2 linked regions of the Macaca mulatta genome follow. The protein of the gene in region 1 interacts with the protein of each later gene in a pairwise test. Links are inferred from orthologs where the notes say so. Each region holds a gene or a part of one and is shown on either strand. Other genes may lie near its edges.

Region 1 (7,347 bases):
TTTTCTGCTTCCAGACACCTAGGAAACACCACTTGTCTATCAGGGAGACCTGACTTCAAACCCCACGACACTGTTTACTAGTGGGGTAACCTTGAGCAAGTCACTTTACCTCTCTGAGTCTCCGTTTTCTCATCTGATTAACAGAGATACAAATTCCTGACCTGCAGGGTTATCGTGAAAAATAGGTGGAAGGAGTTAGTCTGGCCACTGTCCTTGAATTAGATGTTCCCAGAAACCTAGAGGGTTCTTTAGTGTGCCCCCACTCTGGTGCCATTTTGAGCCCTTGGCCACTCCTGTCAGGTCCCTGAGAAGACTGGGGTCTGTGTCCCAGAGTGGGAAGGAAGCGTTCCTTGGAACAGTGAGAAAGTGACTCTGTGGGAGTGCTGTAGAAGGCAGGAGTTACCCTAGAGGACCCCTCGGAGGCTGTATGTCCACCCAGCCCCTACCTATCTCGGTCCACAGGGAGTCCAGCTTTCGTCCCTCACGTATGCCAGCAAGTCTCCAAAGGGTGAGCATGTGTGTTTTGAGTTAAGCCCCCAGCTGACCTGCACTGGCCTCAGACAGGAACCTCTCCAGGAGCCAGTCTCTGTTTTGCAGCTACTGGCTGTGTGACCTTGGACAAAACCTCACTTCCTTGGGCCTCAGTTTCAGCTGACATCTGAGAGTCCCTCCTGCTCTGTGGTTATTAAATGAGGAGCTCCAGAATTGATCCCCAGGGCCAGGGTGCCTGGAGGAGCCGGCAGTGTCCAGCAGGGGGCAACCTCACCACAGCGCTGTATCCAGGGCTGGCTGCCCAGGGCCGAGTCCCTATCTCACAATCCGCTGTGGCCTAAGCCCTGAGAAGAGAGATCTGAGCTGAGTATTCAGGGATCAGGACTAACTCATGATAACAATAACACTCATGTATTGAGTGCTTACTGTGTGCCAGGCACTAGCTGGCTTTACATGCACAAGTTCACTTAATTCTCACAGCAACCTTGGTATTCCTCATTTTACAGACGAGGAAAACAGGTTCAGAGAGTTCAAGAGACTTGCTCAAGGTCACATAGCTAATAATAATAAAAGAAGGGATTTGAACCCAGCACATCTGATGCCAAAGCCCTGTGCTCATCCACTGTTCTTTGCTTGCTCCCAAAATAGGAATTGAGAGGTCAGGGCCACGGCAGAGTTAAAATGTTCATCAAGTTTCCATATGGTGGGGAAAAAAAAATCGTGTGTGTGTGTGTGTGTGTGTCGGTGATGTGAGCTTGGGTCAGGAGTCACAGAAGGTCCCCACCCTGACTCACTTACAGTGTTGTAGCAATTAGCAGAAAAAGGGAGCCAACTTCCTAGGGGCGGGTTGGGACAAAGTCCCGGTAAGAACAGCTTAAAGCTGAGTGAAAGGTCACCCTTTGCATAGAATCCAGAATCTGATGGTGCCCCAGTGGAGTGAAAGGGGCACCAGGGTGAGGGTGCAGAGAGTTCTGAGATCTTCTCCCAGCTCTGCTGCACACCTGCTGTGCCCCTCACCTCTGTCTTGGTCTCTCCATCTGCAAAATGGGGCGGCAAGACTGCTTGGACATGCCACCTGAACCTGGGATCCCCCAGGCTGATGGAGGGTGGGTTGGTTGAGATCAAGGCTTATTCCAGGGGATGGCATGGCCACCCTTCCCTTTTCCGGATAGCAGTCTGGGAGCATCTGGTGGTGAGTCTGCCCCACTGCCTGATGCTCCCTCCAGCCAGTGCTCCCTGCCTCTCTCTGTGGTCAAGGTAGGGGACGAGATCGTCCGGATCAATGGATATTCCATCTCCTCCTGTACCCATGAGGAGGTCATCAACCTCATCCGAACCAAGAAAACTGTGTCCATCAAAGTGAGACGTGAGTGAGACTAGAGCAGGACAGGGCTCCATGATGGTGGGAGGGAGGGAGGGTGGAGGAGCTGTCCTAACCCCTGTGCCTTTCTCCCACAGACATTGGCCTGATCCCCGTGAAGAGGTGAGAGGCCCCTCCTCTGCAGGCCGACTCTTCCCTGTGGGCCCGGGGTCCTGGTACAGCCCTGGGGTCCAGCACTCACCATGCCAGCCCTGCTCCTGGGCCAGTGGAGGCTGGAGGTTGTAGACATGGTGGATCTGGATTTGGGGCCTGGTTCGTCAAACGTCTCTCGCTAACCACCCTTCCATCTATTTTCCCTTCCCATCAGCTCTCCTGATGAGCCCCTCAAGTGGCAGTATGTGGATCAGTTTGTGTCAGAATCTGGGGTAAGGGCCAGACCTCCTGTGATGGGGTTTGGGTGGGGTCATCTTCAAGGATGGGCGGCCAGTCCTAAAGGGAGGGCTTGCTCTAGAGATGCACTCTCAGGGACTTCACACAGGCCCCCAGGGCAGCCAGCACACTGCTGTGGGGCAGTGGCCCTCAGCCAGGCCAGGCTGGTGCAGACACATCCCCAGGGACAGAATGATGATCTGGCTGGTGTGAGTTCAGCAGTGCTCGCCCTGCAGGTCCCACGAGCTCAAGAGGCCGCTTGCACGCATGTGGACACTCAGAGATTCTGCTTCTATCTCCCTTTCAGGGGGGGCGAGGCAGCCTGGGCTCCCCTGGAAATCGGGAAAACAAGGAGAAGAAGGTCTTCATCAGCCTGGTGGGCTCCCGGGGCCTTGGCTGCAGGTGGGTGGTGGGCATGCCCCGGGGTCATTCGTGGCCAGTGCACCCCAGCAGGCCCCTATTACCCTCCCCTTCCTCACTGCTGCTTCTGAGGAAACCTTGCCCACCAGGGGTGTGACTTGTCCATGGGTGATGGTATTTTTTTGTTAGAGACAGGGTCTGGCTCTGTCACCTGGGCTGGAGTGCAATGGCGTGATCATAGCTCACTGTAGCCTCGACCTCCCCAGCTCAAGCAATCCTCCCACCTCAGCCTCCTGAGTAGCTGGGTCTACAGAAACACACCATGACACCCAGCTAACTTTTAATTTTTTTGTAGAGAAGGAGTTTTGTTATGTTGCCAAGGCTGGTCTCAAATTCCTGGGCTCAAATGATCCTCCCACCTCAGCCTCCCGGAGTGCTGGGATTAGAGGCATGAAGCACCGCGCCCAGCCTTGGTGATGACACTTCCTGGTGCCTGATTTCCCCTCTGAATTTCACGACAGGCCTGTAGGGCCCGAGGGGCATCTCTAATAGATCCCAGTTTACGGATAAAGAAATTGAGGCCTAGAGGCAGAACCATGTTACCTTGTAGGTCCTTGAGTCACTGCAAAAGGAGCCTGTTCAGCTGGTCATCTCTGTCACAGTTCTCTTATCACTTATTACCTTGTCGGCTTCGTTAAGAGGCAGACGGGGAATCCAAACAGATACTGGGCCACACGGGGCTCAAGCGTGCAGGTTCCACCGTTACTCAGATCCCAGTTCCAGCCCTGCTTTCCTACTTAAGAGCTCTGGAACCTTGGGCCAGTTACTTAACCACTTGGAGCCTCAGTTTCTCCCTCTATAAATTGATGATAATAATTCCCACATCACAGGGTGATTGTGGAGAAAGTAAAGTACCAAGCTTAGTACCTGCTAAACAGTAAGCAGTTGGTAAATACTAGCTGTTATGATTTGAGTTATTCCTCTTCTTTCCCTTCATTCACATTTATTCCATGTTTTGTGCCAAGCATAAGTGATAAAGAGTCCCTCCCTTCTGGGAGACAAGAGCCTAATCTAGAAGCCAACCACATAAACAGTTATAATATAGGGTGATAGGGACTCAAATGGAACTACATTCTGTGTCCGGGATGGCAAATAGGTGCCATCTCTAATCAATTAGTAGGAGCTCCCTGGAGTGCTGCTTTGAAAAGGATTCTAAAGCTATATCCAGGCTTGAGGGAAAGAGTGCTGTGATCAGTGAGTGATTTCTGCCACCAATCTAGGAAGGAATAATAACAGTACATGTGCCATTCCTGTCGTAAATGTCATAGGAGCACTGAGAACCGAGCAAATAGCTTGGTCTTGGGATAGAATAAGGGATCTGAGCCAGGCATGGTGGTGTGCACCTGTAGTCGTAGCTAGTCAAGAGGTTGAGGTGGGAGGATTGCTTGAGCCCAGGAGTTGGAGGCTGTGGAGAGCTATGATCACACCACTGCACTCCAACCTGGGTGACAGAGCAAGACCCTGTCTCTAAAAAATAAATTTTTTAAAAAAGAGGATCTGCTGAAAACCTTATAGAAGGGATAGCATTTGGTTCTTAAGGAATGGACAGGAAAGCGTTAGAAAGAAAAAAGAAACAACATATGAGGTATATTAGGTGAGAGATTGGGTAGGAAGAATTACAAGGAGTTTTCTGTGGCTGTTGCCCAGGGTAGCAGTAGAAATCAGGCTGGACGGGGAGACAGAGGCTGAAGAGGTAGGCAGCCGAGGGCCTTCAGTCCTGAGTTCATGAGTGACCTGTATCCTAAGCACACATTTCCCACCTCCCACAGCATTTCCAGCGGCCCCATCCAGAAGCCTGGCATCTTCATCAGCCACGTGAAACCTGGCTCCCTGTCTGCTGAGGTGGGATTGGAGGTGAGTGACGCTGGGCCGGCCCCAGTGGGGGCCCACTGGAAACTGGGTCAGACTGTGATCCCGCGGTGACAGGGGCAGGTGCCTTTCCACATGGCCCTCTTTCGGCGGTCACTGATCAGGAGGAGCCCTACCCACCCTGCAGAGAAGGCTTCACAGAGTGGGGACATTTGACCCTTCTGCAGCCTTCCATAGCTCTGATGGTTGTTGGTCGTGAGCTTGGGAATGTCATAATGATAATCAAAGAGCGGACCTTCAGGGTCCACTTGCATCGGACATTGTTCCACGCCCTTTACACTTCACAAGAACGCTGAGGATTAAGTGCCACCATTATCCCCACTTTACATATGAGGAAACTGAGACCCAGAGAAAGTATATGATTTTTCTGAAATCATGTACCTAGCATGGTAGGACTGGAATTCAAACCTAGGTGGTCTCATCCCAAAGCAGGAACCCTTAACCTCTTCTTTGGACAAGTTACTTCATGTCTCTGTGCTTCAGTTTCCTTACCTATAAGATGGGGATAATAAAGCCTTTCTTCCAAGGTTGTTGTGTGGGTTAAAGTAGTTAATATGTATACTAGAACTGTGCCAAGCACACTGTAAGTGATCAGTGAATGTTAGCTATTCTGTTATGATGATTCAACACAGCCTCTGCTAAATGAGAAGCTCAAAAGTTTCCGCATCTACAAACTGTGATTTCTAAAGCAAGTGTCATCAAATTTAGCCAAAAAAAGAACATGTAATGGTATAATATTTGATAGTTGATAAGGTAGTTATGAAGTAGGGGAGTGCCAGGGTCAGCTTTAAGCCCTCCCAGAGCTCCACCAGAGCTTTCCAACTGCTCCATTCATCAGGAGGAACTGAGGTACAGCCACTTGAAGACCCAGCATCTGACCCAGAACCCCTGGGGGCGCCCATCCTGCAGATGAACGAGTGTACAGATAGCGTAAACACACTAATCTTTTTCCACTTCCCCACCAGACAGGGGACCAGATTGTCGAAGTGAATGGCATCGACTTCTCTAACCTGGACCACAAGGAGGTGAGATGTAGGGGTCTTCACCTGCTGGCCTTTGTCATCTCCACACCCCACTTCTCACCCCCACCACCCTGAAGCCTGGGGCCTTCTGTGCTCTCTGCCTGGACTGCTCTGGTCTGTCAGGCCTCGATCCACTGTCCTTCTGTCCCCACAGGCTGTGAACGTGCTGAAGAGTAGCCGCAGCCTGACCATCTCCATCGTAGCTGGAGCTGTAAGTCCAGAACGAGCTGGTGGGAGCCCCTTGACCCTCATCCCCAGCCCCTCTGACCTTTGATCTCTGCCACACACTCCCAGGGTGGCAGGTCTCCTTCCCTGAAGCTCTGACAGAGCAGACGGAGGGAGAGGACTTCTGCCCAGCAACAAGTTTGGGTCAGGGATTGCAGGAGCCACTGTGCCTGATGGTGCTGAGAAGACCACCTGCATCTCGGCCCCCAAGGGTGTGGCAGGGGATCCCCAGGGGCTGAGCAAGGGGCCTCTTTTCTCCCACGAGGGCCGGGAGCTGTTCATGACAGACCGGGAGCGGCTGGCAGAGGCGCGGCAGCGTGAGCTGCAGCGGCAAGAGCTCCTCATGCAGAAGCGGCTGGCGATGGAGTCCAACAAGATCCTCCAGGAGCAGCAGGAGATGGAGCGGCAGTGAGTGCAGCCAGCCCTGGGTGCCCTGCCCCACCATACAACCCCACCTAGCTTGTGTCCTGCCTGCTGTGTCCCCAGCTAATTTCCTCCTCCTCCCTGGAGGCCAGTCCTCAGACCAGATGAGTTTGGTGGTGGGTCAGTGTATCCATCCTTGGCCCCTTCCTCCTTGCTGAGCAGAGACCCCTGACTTCCAAGATTCCAAGAATGTGGAAAATAAGCATCCTACTAGCAGTAGGCTCTAGCTAGCTAGGATTAGCTACTAGCTAACATTTGTCAAGTACCTCTATAAGGCTGGCGTTGTATTAGGGCCTTGTTTATGTTTCTTAATTCCTACAATAGCCCTGGGAGGTAGAGGTAGAGAGTATTAACCCCATTTTACAGGTGTGGAGACTGACACTCAGAGAGGTGAAGCCACTTGTGTCCAAAGTCACACGTGGCCAAGCTGGGATCACCCCCAGGCAATCTGGCAAGTCCCCACAGGGCTGCCCTGCCTATAGTGATAAAGCTCGTCCCTGTCCAGGACGATTGAAATGATGACCTAAGAGAATAAATGGGGTGATCAATTCATAAATCAAAAACTACTGTCAAGATCCAAACCCAAATACATTCTAGGCATTTAAAAGTATTTCATGGCTAGACGTGGTGGCTCACACCCTGTAATCCCAGCACTTTGGGAGGTCAAGGCCAGCAGATCATTCGAGGTCAGGAGTTCGAGACCAGCCTGGCCAACATGGTGAAATCGTGTCTCTACTAAAAATACAAAAAAATTAGCTGGACATGGTGGCATGCGACTGTAATCCCAGCTTCTCAGGAGGCTGAGGCACAAGCATCACTTGAACCTGGGAGGCAGAGGTTGCAGTGAGCCGAGATCGCACCACTGAACTCCTGGGTGCAAAGTGAGACTTTGTCTCAATCAATCAATGTATTTTGAAAAGGAAAGAGGAAAGGCTGTCCCCATCTCCCCCATCACAGAGTTAGCTGGGAGTATTCCGCCTGGCTAGGAGCCCCTGCTTTGCTCCTGGGGTCAGTCCAGGCCCCGCCTGTCATCGGTCACCTTACCTAAGTATTTGGAGGAGGGAGCATGAAGTGTGGCCTTCACGTGGATCTGCTTCCCTGCTCCCACAGCCCAGCATCTCTGCTCAGCCATGCCAGACAAAACCA
Region 2 (7,347 bases), on another chromosome or scaffold:
GGTCTGACTCTTCCCCTCTGTGGGCCTCAGTTTTTTCTTTTTCTTTTTTTTTTTTTTTTTTTGAGACGGAGTCTCGCTCTGTCACCCAGGCTGGAGTGCAGTGGCTGGATCTCAGCTCACTGCAAGCTCCGCCTCCCGGGTTCACGCCATTCTCCTGCCTCAGCCTCCCGAGTAGCTGGGACTACAGGCGCCCGCCACCGCGCCCGGCTAAGTTTTTTTTGTATTTTTAGTAGAGACGGGGTTTCACCGTGTTAGCCAGGATGGTCTCGATCTCCTGACCTCGTGATCCACCCGTCTCGGCCTCCCAAAGTGCTGGGATTACAGGCTTGAGCCACCGCGCCCGGCCGGGCCTCAGTTTTTTCATCTGTAAAGTGGAGGGAGGTGGCTTGGAACCCCTGGATGGTTGCTAGGCAACTTTGCTGCATCAACATCCTGGGGACCTTTCTGATTGATGCTGGGGGAAGGGAACTGTCTTGAACTCCCTTTGGCAGAAAAAATTCGCCCAGCAGCCTTAGGCAATGGAGCAAGATTACTCCAGGGCCCTTCCTCAGACGTGACTGAGAAAACAGAGCCCACTAGGCACCAGCTTACAGAGGGGACTCACCCCTGGGAGAAAGCAGGGCTTCAAATCAGGCTGCCCATGAGCTGCCTGTGGTGATGTGGGACATGGAGACCCCTCTGGGCCTCCGGAGGGCCCTCATGGAGACCCCTCTGGAGGCCCAGAGCCCAGGTGACGGGCGGCAGCCTCCTGGAGTACGTTTCTGCCCATCTCTGGAAAAGCCCAGGCAGGCCTTGGTGGGAAGAGAGAACACGCACCCTCCTGCCCTCCACAGCTGCAGACCCTGGCAACAAGCCTGGAGGCTCAGTCATCCTCCTTGCTCGGGGGGACTCTCCTGCCCTAGTTCTCAGCCCTGCCTCTCCACCAGCTCCTCATTCTGGACTGAGCTAGGAGAGCAGGGTAAAGGCCTAGGGATCTCTTCAAAGATGCATAGCATGGGGGCTCGAAGACACTCCAGAGAACAGGGCCCAGGACCCAGTCCTCACAAGCACAGAGAAGACCCCTCCCGCCCCACCCCCACCCCCCACTCTTCATACCCAAAGCATTAAAGGACAAGACACAGGCATGACACTGGTGGAGAACATTCTCTACAAAAGTGGTAATGAGCCTGCAGGAGGGATTCGGGCTACAGTGGTGGGCACACAGAGCCTGCTCCACCCCAGCACTGGCTAGAATCAGGAGGGGCTGCGGCAGTAAATGGACAAGGAATGGGAGAGAAGGGGCAGCACCTGGGGCTCTGGGAAAAACAAGTCGGCACTTGGGGGTGGCCCCAGGCTCAGGCCCAGAGAACAGGGAGAAGCACTGCGGTGGGCTCCAGATAGCAGTGGCAGGCAGCCAAGCCCTCAGTGTCCTGCAATAGGACAGGGACCATCTCCTCCATGCCTCCACTCTGGGCATGTATATGGGAATGGGAACCCCCGGACAGACCAAAAAGAGGCCTTTGAGGGCTCTCTTTCCCCTACCCCAGCCAAGGGGGCCCCGGGAGGAGCTGGGGACTATGGCCATGCTCCCAGCAGGAGCTGCTTCCCAAGCTGAGGTCAGGGATGGGGGGCCATGGCTGAGGAAGGAGGAGAGCACCTCTGCATGGGGTGCGAAGGGGCACACACATGTCAGCGGGCTCCTGAGGGACTCTCCCATATCTGTGACCTCGGTCTGGCTGGAGAGCTCTGGGGGCACATGTCTGAGGACACATGCTCTGACCACCCTCTGAGCTGGCCTTTCCCCTGGTCTCACCATCACAGGGCTGGGACACAGGCGAGCTCTCCCTTAGCCCCGATCCAGCAGCCCAGCCCCTCTTTGGTAAAGAGGGAAACTTACCAAACAACACCCAAGGTGAGCGCGCACACACGCACGCATGCACACACACACGCATAAACACACACACATGTGCACGCATGCACACACATGCATAAACACACACAAACACGCGCACACATGCACACACATGCATAAACACAAACACGTGCGCACACATGCACGCACACACACATGCATGTGCGTGCACACGTACGCAAGAACACACACACAAGCACACACACACCACACACGTACACACACATGCACGCACACACATGCATACACGCACACACACAGCCCTGGTGACCTGGGGATAATCTGCAGTTTAGATTATCCACTTTCTCCAGTGTCCATATCGCAGGACTTACCCAACCCAGGCCCAACACCCAGCCACACCCTGTTCTGCCTGTCCCAGGCCTGGGAGACTGAGGAGGTTGGCAGACACCTTTCTCTGGCCCAGCGCATGCCTGCCAGGCCTGGGGGCTATAACACTGCAGCCTGTTGGTCTAGCACCTTGCATCTAGTGCCCTGGCCCTCTGGGGTCCCTGGCGGGGCCAGGCTGCACAATGAAAAAGCGGGAGGCTGGAGGAAGACAGGCCAGGCTCCATCCCTGGATGAGCTGGGAAGGGCGTCAGTACCCCCAGCCTGGCTCTCCAGCTCCGGGCCTTGGCCACTGGCTGAAGGAGGGGATGCTGGCTGTGCTTGGAATGGGTGCAGACTGAAAGTTGGGGCATTTGGCTGAAGAGTCTGGCTGAGGAACTTCCCCTCTGGGGTGGACTGGAAGAGGGGAGGCAGCCCAAACTCTTCCCTTCACAAAAATGCAGGAAGTGAGCAACTCTCCGGCCTGAGCACAAGAGAACAAGACCATCAGGGGAGGGGCCCGGGACAGGCATGCCCTCCGGCATTCACCTCCCACACTCCCATCCAGTTCCATGCCCCTGCCCTCCCTCTGGGGTAAGCCTCCCCCAAGTATACATGTCCTTTAGGGCTGCTCAGAATGGGTGGCTCAGGGCCTTTGTGACCCCTCAGAACTGGAGGGGACATTCTCTTGCCCCTCTGGTGCCTCCAGGCTACACCCTCTGCTTCAAGGTGTGGACAGCCTTTCAAAGGAGTCGACCCACGTGGTCCTTGCTCCTGGGGAAGGGGGCTGCAGGACTGGCGACTGTGAGGACCTTGAGGCCCCACCACAGGTTGTGGCAACTTGCAATTCATTTTGGTCTGGGGAGAGGAGCCCCCCGTTATCTGTGGAGGAAGAGACAGAAAGAAACAGATTTCACGTGAGGTCCTTTAGAGGCATCATTTTCACCCAGGACAGCCATCTGGACAACTTAGCCTTCCCATCTCTCAGCAGGTTGATGGTCAGGGATGGAGGATGCCAGCCTACGGGTGACCTCCCCATCCCCAAAACTCTAAACCAGCCTGCCTCCCCACACCCTCCCTGCCCCAGCCACTCAGGATAAAGGCCATAGATACCTAAGAGGAAATGAGGACAGCATTTGTTGGGCTTGTGGGATGCTGCAGGGGAGGGGCCAGGGCAGGGGCTGGCCACAGCATGACCATTGTGGCAGCGGCCTTGGCCAACTATGACGGGCTTTGGAACATGAACTCTGCCTCCAGAGCATTTGGGAGCATTTGCCCACGTTCCTGGTTGCAGAGTTCAGGAATAGCAGGTAAAACATCTGCCTAAAGCCGGGCGCGGTGGCTCACGCCTGTAATCCCAGCACTTTGGGAGGCCGAAGTGGACAGATCACCTGAGGTCAGAAGTTCGAGATAAGCCTGGCCAACATGGCAAAACCACATCTCTACTAAAAATACAAAAATTAGCTGGGCATGGTAGTGCACCCCTGTAATCCCAGCTACTCAGGAGGCTGAGGCAGGAGAATTTCGTGAACCCGGGAGGTGGAGGTTGCAGTGAACTGAGATTGTGCCACTGCACTCCAGCCTGGGCAACAAGAGGGAAACTGTCTTAAAAAAAAAAAAAAAAAAAAAAAAAAAAATCTGCCTGAGGTCTTGGGCAACTGAGAGGCCCTGCTGACTGCAAGCCCTGCATCCCATGGGAGCCACCTTGACCCCAGGCTCTAAAGCCATGCAGACCAGGGATCAAGCCCAGCTCCATGTTGAGCAGCAGCAGGACCTTGAGGTGAGCTATTCTAACTGTCTGAGCCTCCACTTGCTCATCCGCTATAAAATGGGAACGATATAATCCACCAATACAGTCCGGGCACACGGGCTTTTAGAGGGATTAAGCAAGAGAACTTGTTCAAGGGCACAACCCAGCACCTGGGAGGTGGGAGGGCTCAAAAACACCCCAACTGTGATTCCCGTGACTGTTGAAACTCGGTGACACTAAGAGGACCATTTCCCCACATGTTGATGTCCCCAAAATCGAGGTGCACTTTACACTAGCTGTGATAAGAATGCCTTGGGTCATCATTAAATTGGCAACTTCTTTTTCTGAGCTGGTGGTAAATAAAATAAGGGGGCCTTTTATCATCGATGGCCCCATTTCGATTTTATGAAATACAGTAGCCCCCACCCCCTACTCCTGAATAGGCAGATCTGTACTCCCTCCCCAGGGGCCTTCCAACTCCTGTTCCTCCATCCCCCTGCCAGGCTGGACACTCACAGCTCTGTGTCCTCCAGGGCCGGTGGGCGCTCCATCGCCTGCCGCCGCCTCCTCACGGCCCCCAAGATCTTCTTTCGGGGCCCCAGGGGGACGCTGATGCTGCGGAGGTCGAGGTCAGAACATAGCATCAGAGCCTCGAGGTCAATCTTCTCCTGCCGCAGGAGGGCGGCAAAGTCCTCCATGTGCAGAGAGGCCAGAAAGGTCTCCAGCGGGCCGGTCTCGGGCTCCAGGTCCTCGTCCAAGCCTAAGTCCAGCTCGTCCCAGGGCAGCTCCTCCCCACAGCTGCGGTCCTGCAGGCTGTTGGCACTGCCCAGGCTGTCATCGTCCAGGCTAGGGGAGCTCTGCAGCCGACCCCGAGGCGCTCCCATCCCGTCCAGCCCCCCATCCTCGCGGCCCAGTCCGTGCAGCCCACTGCTCAAGTAATTTCTGCGGAACACCATGGTGCCCAGGCCGGGGCGGGTAAAGAGGGAGTCGTGGCCTGAGTCGGTGCTGACCTCCGAGTGGGCAGGCTCGGCTGCCAGCGTGGCACGGGAGACGCTGTCCTCGTCCGAGAGGAACATGTCCCGGAGCGGGGCTCGGCCCCACTCCTTGGGATTGGCGTAGGTGCCCTGGCGCACGAACATCACGTCGTTGCCCAGCTGCAGGCCCGAGAGCGAGCGGGCGCTCTTGCGCCCATCCTCGGAGACTTTGAAAGTGCCTTCGCCGCCCTGCTTGCGCCGCTCCAGCTTCTTCTGCATCTTGGTCTTGCCCCTGGCCGTGCCGTGCAGCGTGGCCTGCGAGTACGGCAGGTGGCTGCCCAGCGCCAGGTGCTGCAGCCGGCGGCTCAGGGTGCTGGACGTGAGGCTGGAGAAACTGAGGGTGTCGGAGCGCTCGGCCAGCTCGCGCCGGTAGCGCCGCTCCATGCGTTCGTGGTGCTTGCGCTGCAGCTTGGCGCACTCGCGGATGCGCCGCTCCGCCTCGCGGAAGGCCTTGTCCTTCAGCTTACCCACTAGCTTGGGGTTGAGGCTGCTCTGCTTGGCCGCGATGGAGTCCAGGTAGCGCACGCATTCCATGTGGCCCTTCATGGCAGCCATGTCCAGCGGCGTGTGGTAGTCGTTGTCTAGGCACCAGATGTTGGCCCCGAAGGACACCAGGAAGGACAGGCAGTGCAAGTGGCCATTGGAAGCTGCCAGATGCAGGGGTGTGTTGCCCCAGATGTCACACTTGTCCGGGTCACCCCTGCAGGGAAAGCATCCAGGAGGGACTAGTGACGAGTCCTGGCTGGGGATGGAGGTGGAGGGAGTGGAGGGGGGAAGGGAGCTCCCCCACTGTCACAGCAACCCCCAAAGGGACCGTGGGCCTGAGACCTCTTCGACTCCAGGAGACCTGCAGGCCTGAGCCACCCAACAGGTGAGCCCAGGGGTGAGTCCAGGGGAAAATGGCCCCAGGTGTGCAGGGGGTGGGGTGTCAGAGAAGGCGGGACTGGGGCGGGACCTTCCCCAAGCTAACTGAGGACTGGGAATCTCAGGGGATAAATATTTGATGCCCTGAGAGAAGGGAGTAAATTATTCATGAGGCCCAGCACAGAGCTGGCCAGAGCACTGGGGGGCCAGGGCCGCGTCTGGGTCTCTAGGCAGGCATGGTGGTGAGTGTGGCTGCGTGTGCCGAGTGACCGTAAAAGAGAACAGACCAGAGGGTGATGTGTACCGGGCCCCAGCCCCGGGTTAGCGTGTGTGAGGTGTGGGCTTGTGTGTCAGCAGGCAGGGCCCTGTCTGCAGGGAGCAGGGCCAGCCCTGGCAAGCCCGAGTGTGAGAGGAAGTGTCGGGCCTTGGCCTGGGCCAGGAGGGGAGTGCGGGGGCAGCCAGGACTGGAGGGGAGGAGGAGGGAAATCAGCTGCCTGCGCTCGGAAGCCCTCCCTTCCCCAGGCTGCCCCCTCTTTGTTATCCCTTCAAGGCTGTCTCACTTGAGCCTGTCCAGGACCCCTGACAGCCCCCACAAGCACCCCTCACACCAGACTGTGTCCCTCAGGGCAAGCTCCCAAGACTCCTCCGGAGCTCTCCCTCCCCTGGGGGCCCAGCACAGCACCCCTGCCCTGCACTAATGAGGCCACGAGGCCAACCCCCAGGGCTGGGGGAAGAATCACTCCCTTGTCTCAACAGCTCCTCACACACTCCCTCCTGGGCCTCCCCTCCTGGCCACCAAGTCCTACAGGCCAGTGTGGGAAGGGCCTGCCAGCACCCGACCCACACCCCATCAAACACCAATCCTGGTCTCTGGAGGAGTTGGGGCTTGGCATACCCAAGGGGAGACCTCTTCCCCTTCTCCCTTCCTCCCATGAGCCTCTCTGAAGGGATGGCAGGGGACAGTGTCACTGTGTGCTCTCCTGGGATGAGGAGGGGCCAGTCAGCCTTGGCCTCCCGGGACATGGCTCAGCTGCCCAGGCTTCGAGGCTGCTCCCACCTGATGCTGGGCCCAAGGAGCAGCCCAAGGAGGGGGCAAGAGGGAGGGGTCTCCAGCACCCACTACATGATCAGGCCATAGGCCAGTGCCTGGGCCCCAGCCCTCTCTCCCATGACCTGAGACTTCATATCAACCCTCCTGGGGTGTCCTGTCCACCCCTCATCCTGTCCAGGCCGCCCTGGTGTTCAGACCAACCTGACTCCTCTTTATAAAGCCATTGGGGCTGAGGGAGTTGGTCACAGTCATTTGACTTTAGCCCCAAGGAACCCATGTCAGTGGCTCTAGTCCTGGAGGTGGCTTAACTGCCACCTCCAGGCCCCTTCCCTGGCGCTGACACCTGCACTCTATGCCCACCCCTCGCCCTAGGACAACTCCAAAGGGAGGGGGAGGGGAGAGAGGCCCCTTCAGGGTGACCACATCACAGTCT

What was found. The genes of interacting proteins can lie anywhere in the genome.
Region 2: the proteins of USH1C (region 1) and USH1G interact in binary tests that used the Homo sapiens proteins (3 or more experiments, as listed by UniProt). The link is inferred for Macaca mulatta from reciprocal best matches to the Homo sapiens genes USH1C and USH1G.

The regions. Positions count from the first base shown.
Region 1 is NC_133419.1:47,938,465-47,945,811, forward strand, and holds part of USH1C (harmonin), read left to right. Parts: intron 1-1,749; coding exon 1,750-1,858; intron 1,859-1,950; coding exon 1,951-1,975; intron 1,976-2,180; coding exon 2,181-2,238; intron 2,239-2,549; coding exon 2,550-2,644; intron 2,645-4,431; coding exon 4,432-4,516; intron 4,517-5,496; coding exon 5,497-5,556; intron 5,557-5,707; coding exon 5,708-5,764; intron 5,765-6,043; coding exon 6,044-6,186; intron 6,187-7,347. UniProt on the Homo sapiens protein: Anchoring/scaffolding protein that is a part of the functional network formed by USH1C, USH1G, CDH23 and MYO7A that mediates mechanotransduction in cochlear hair cells. Required for normal development and maintenance of cochlear hair cell bundles.
Region 2 is NC_133421.1:84,573,223-84,580,569, forward strand, and holds part of USH1G (pre-mRNA splicing regulator USH1G), read right to left. Parts: intron 5,700-7,347; coding exon 4,478-5,699; 3' UTR 4,316-4,477; intron 3,098-4,315; coding exon of another isoform or gene 3,094-3,097; exon of another isoform or gene 1,125-3,093; intron 1-1,124. UniProt on the Homo sapiens protein: Plays a role in pre-mRNA splicing by regulating the release and transfer of U4/U6.U5 tri-small nuclear ribonucleoprotein (tri-snRNP) complexes from their assembly site in Cajal bodies to nuclear speckles, thereby contributing to the assembly of the pre-catalytic spliceosome on target pre-mRNAs.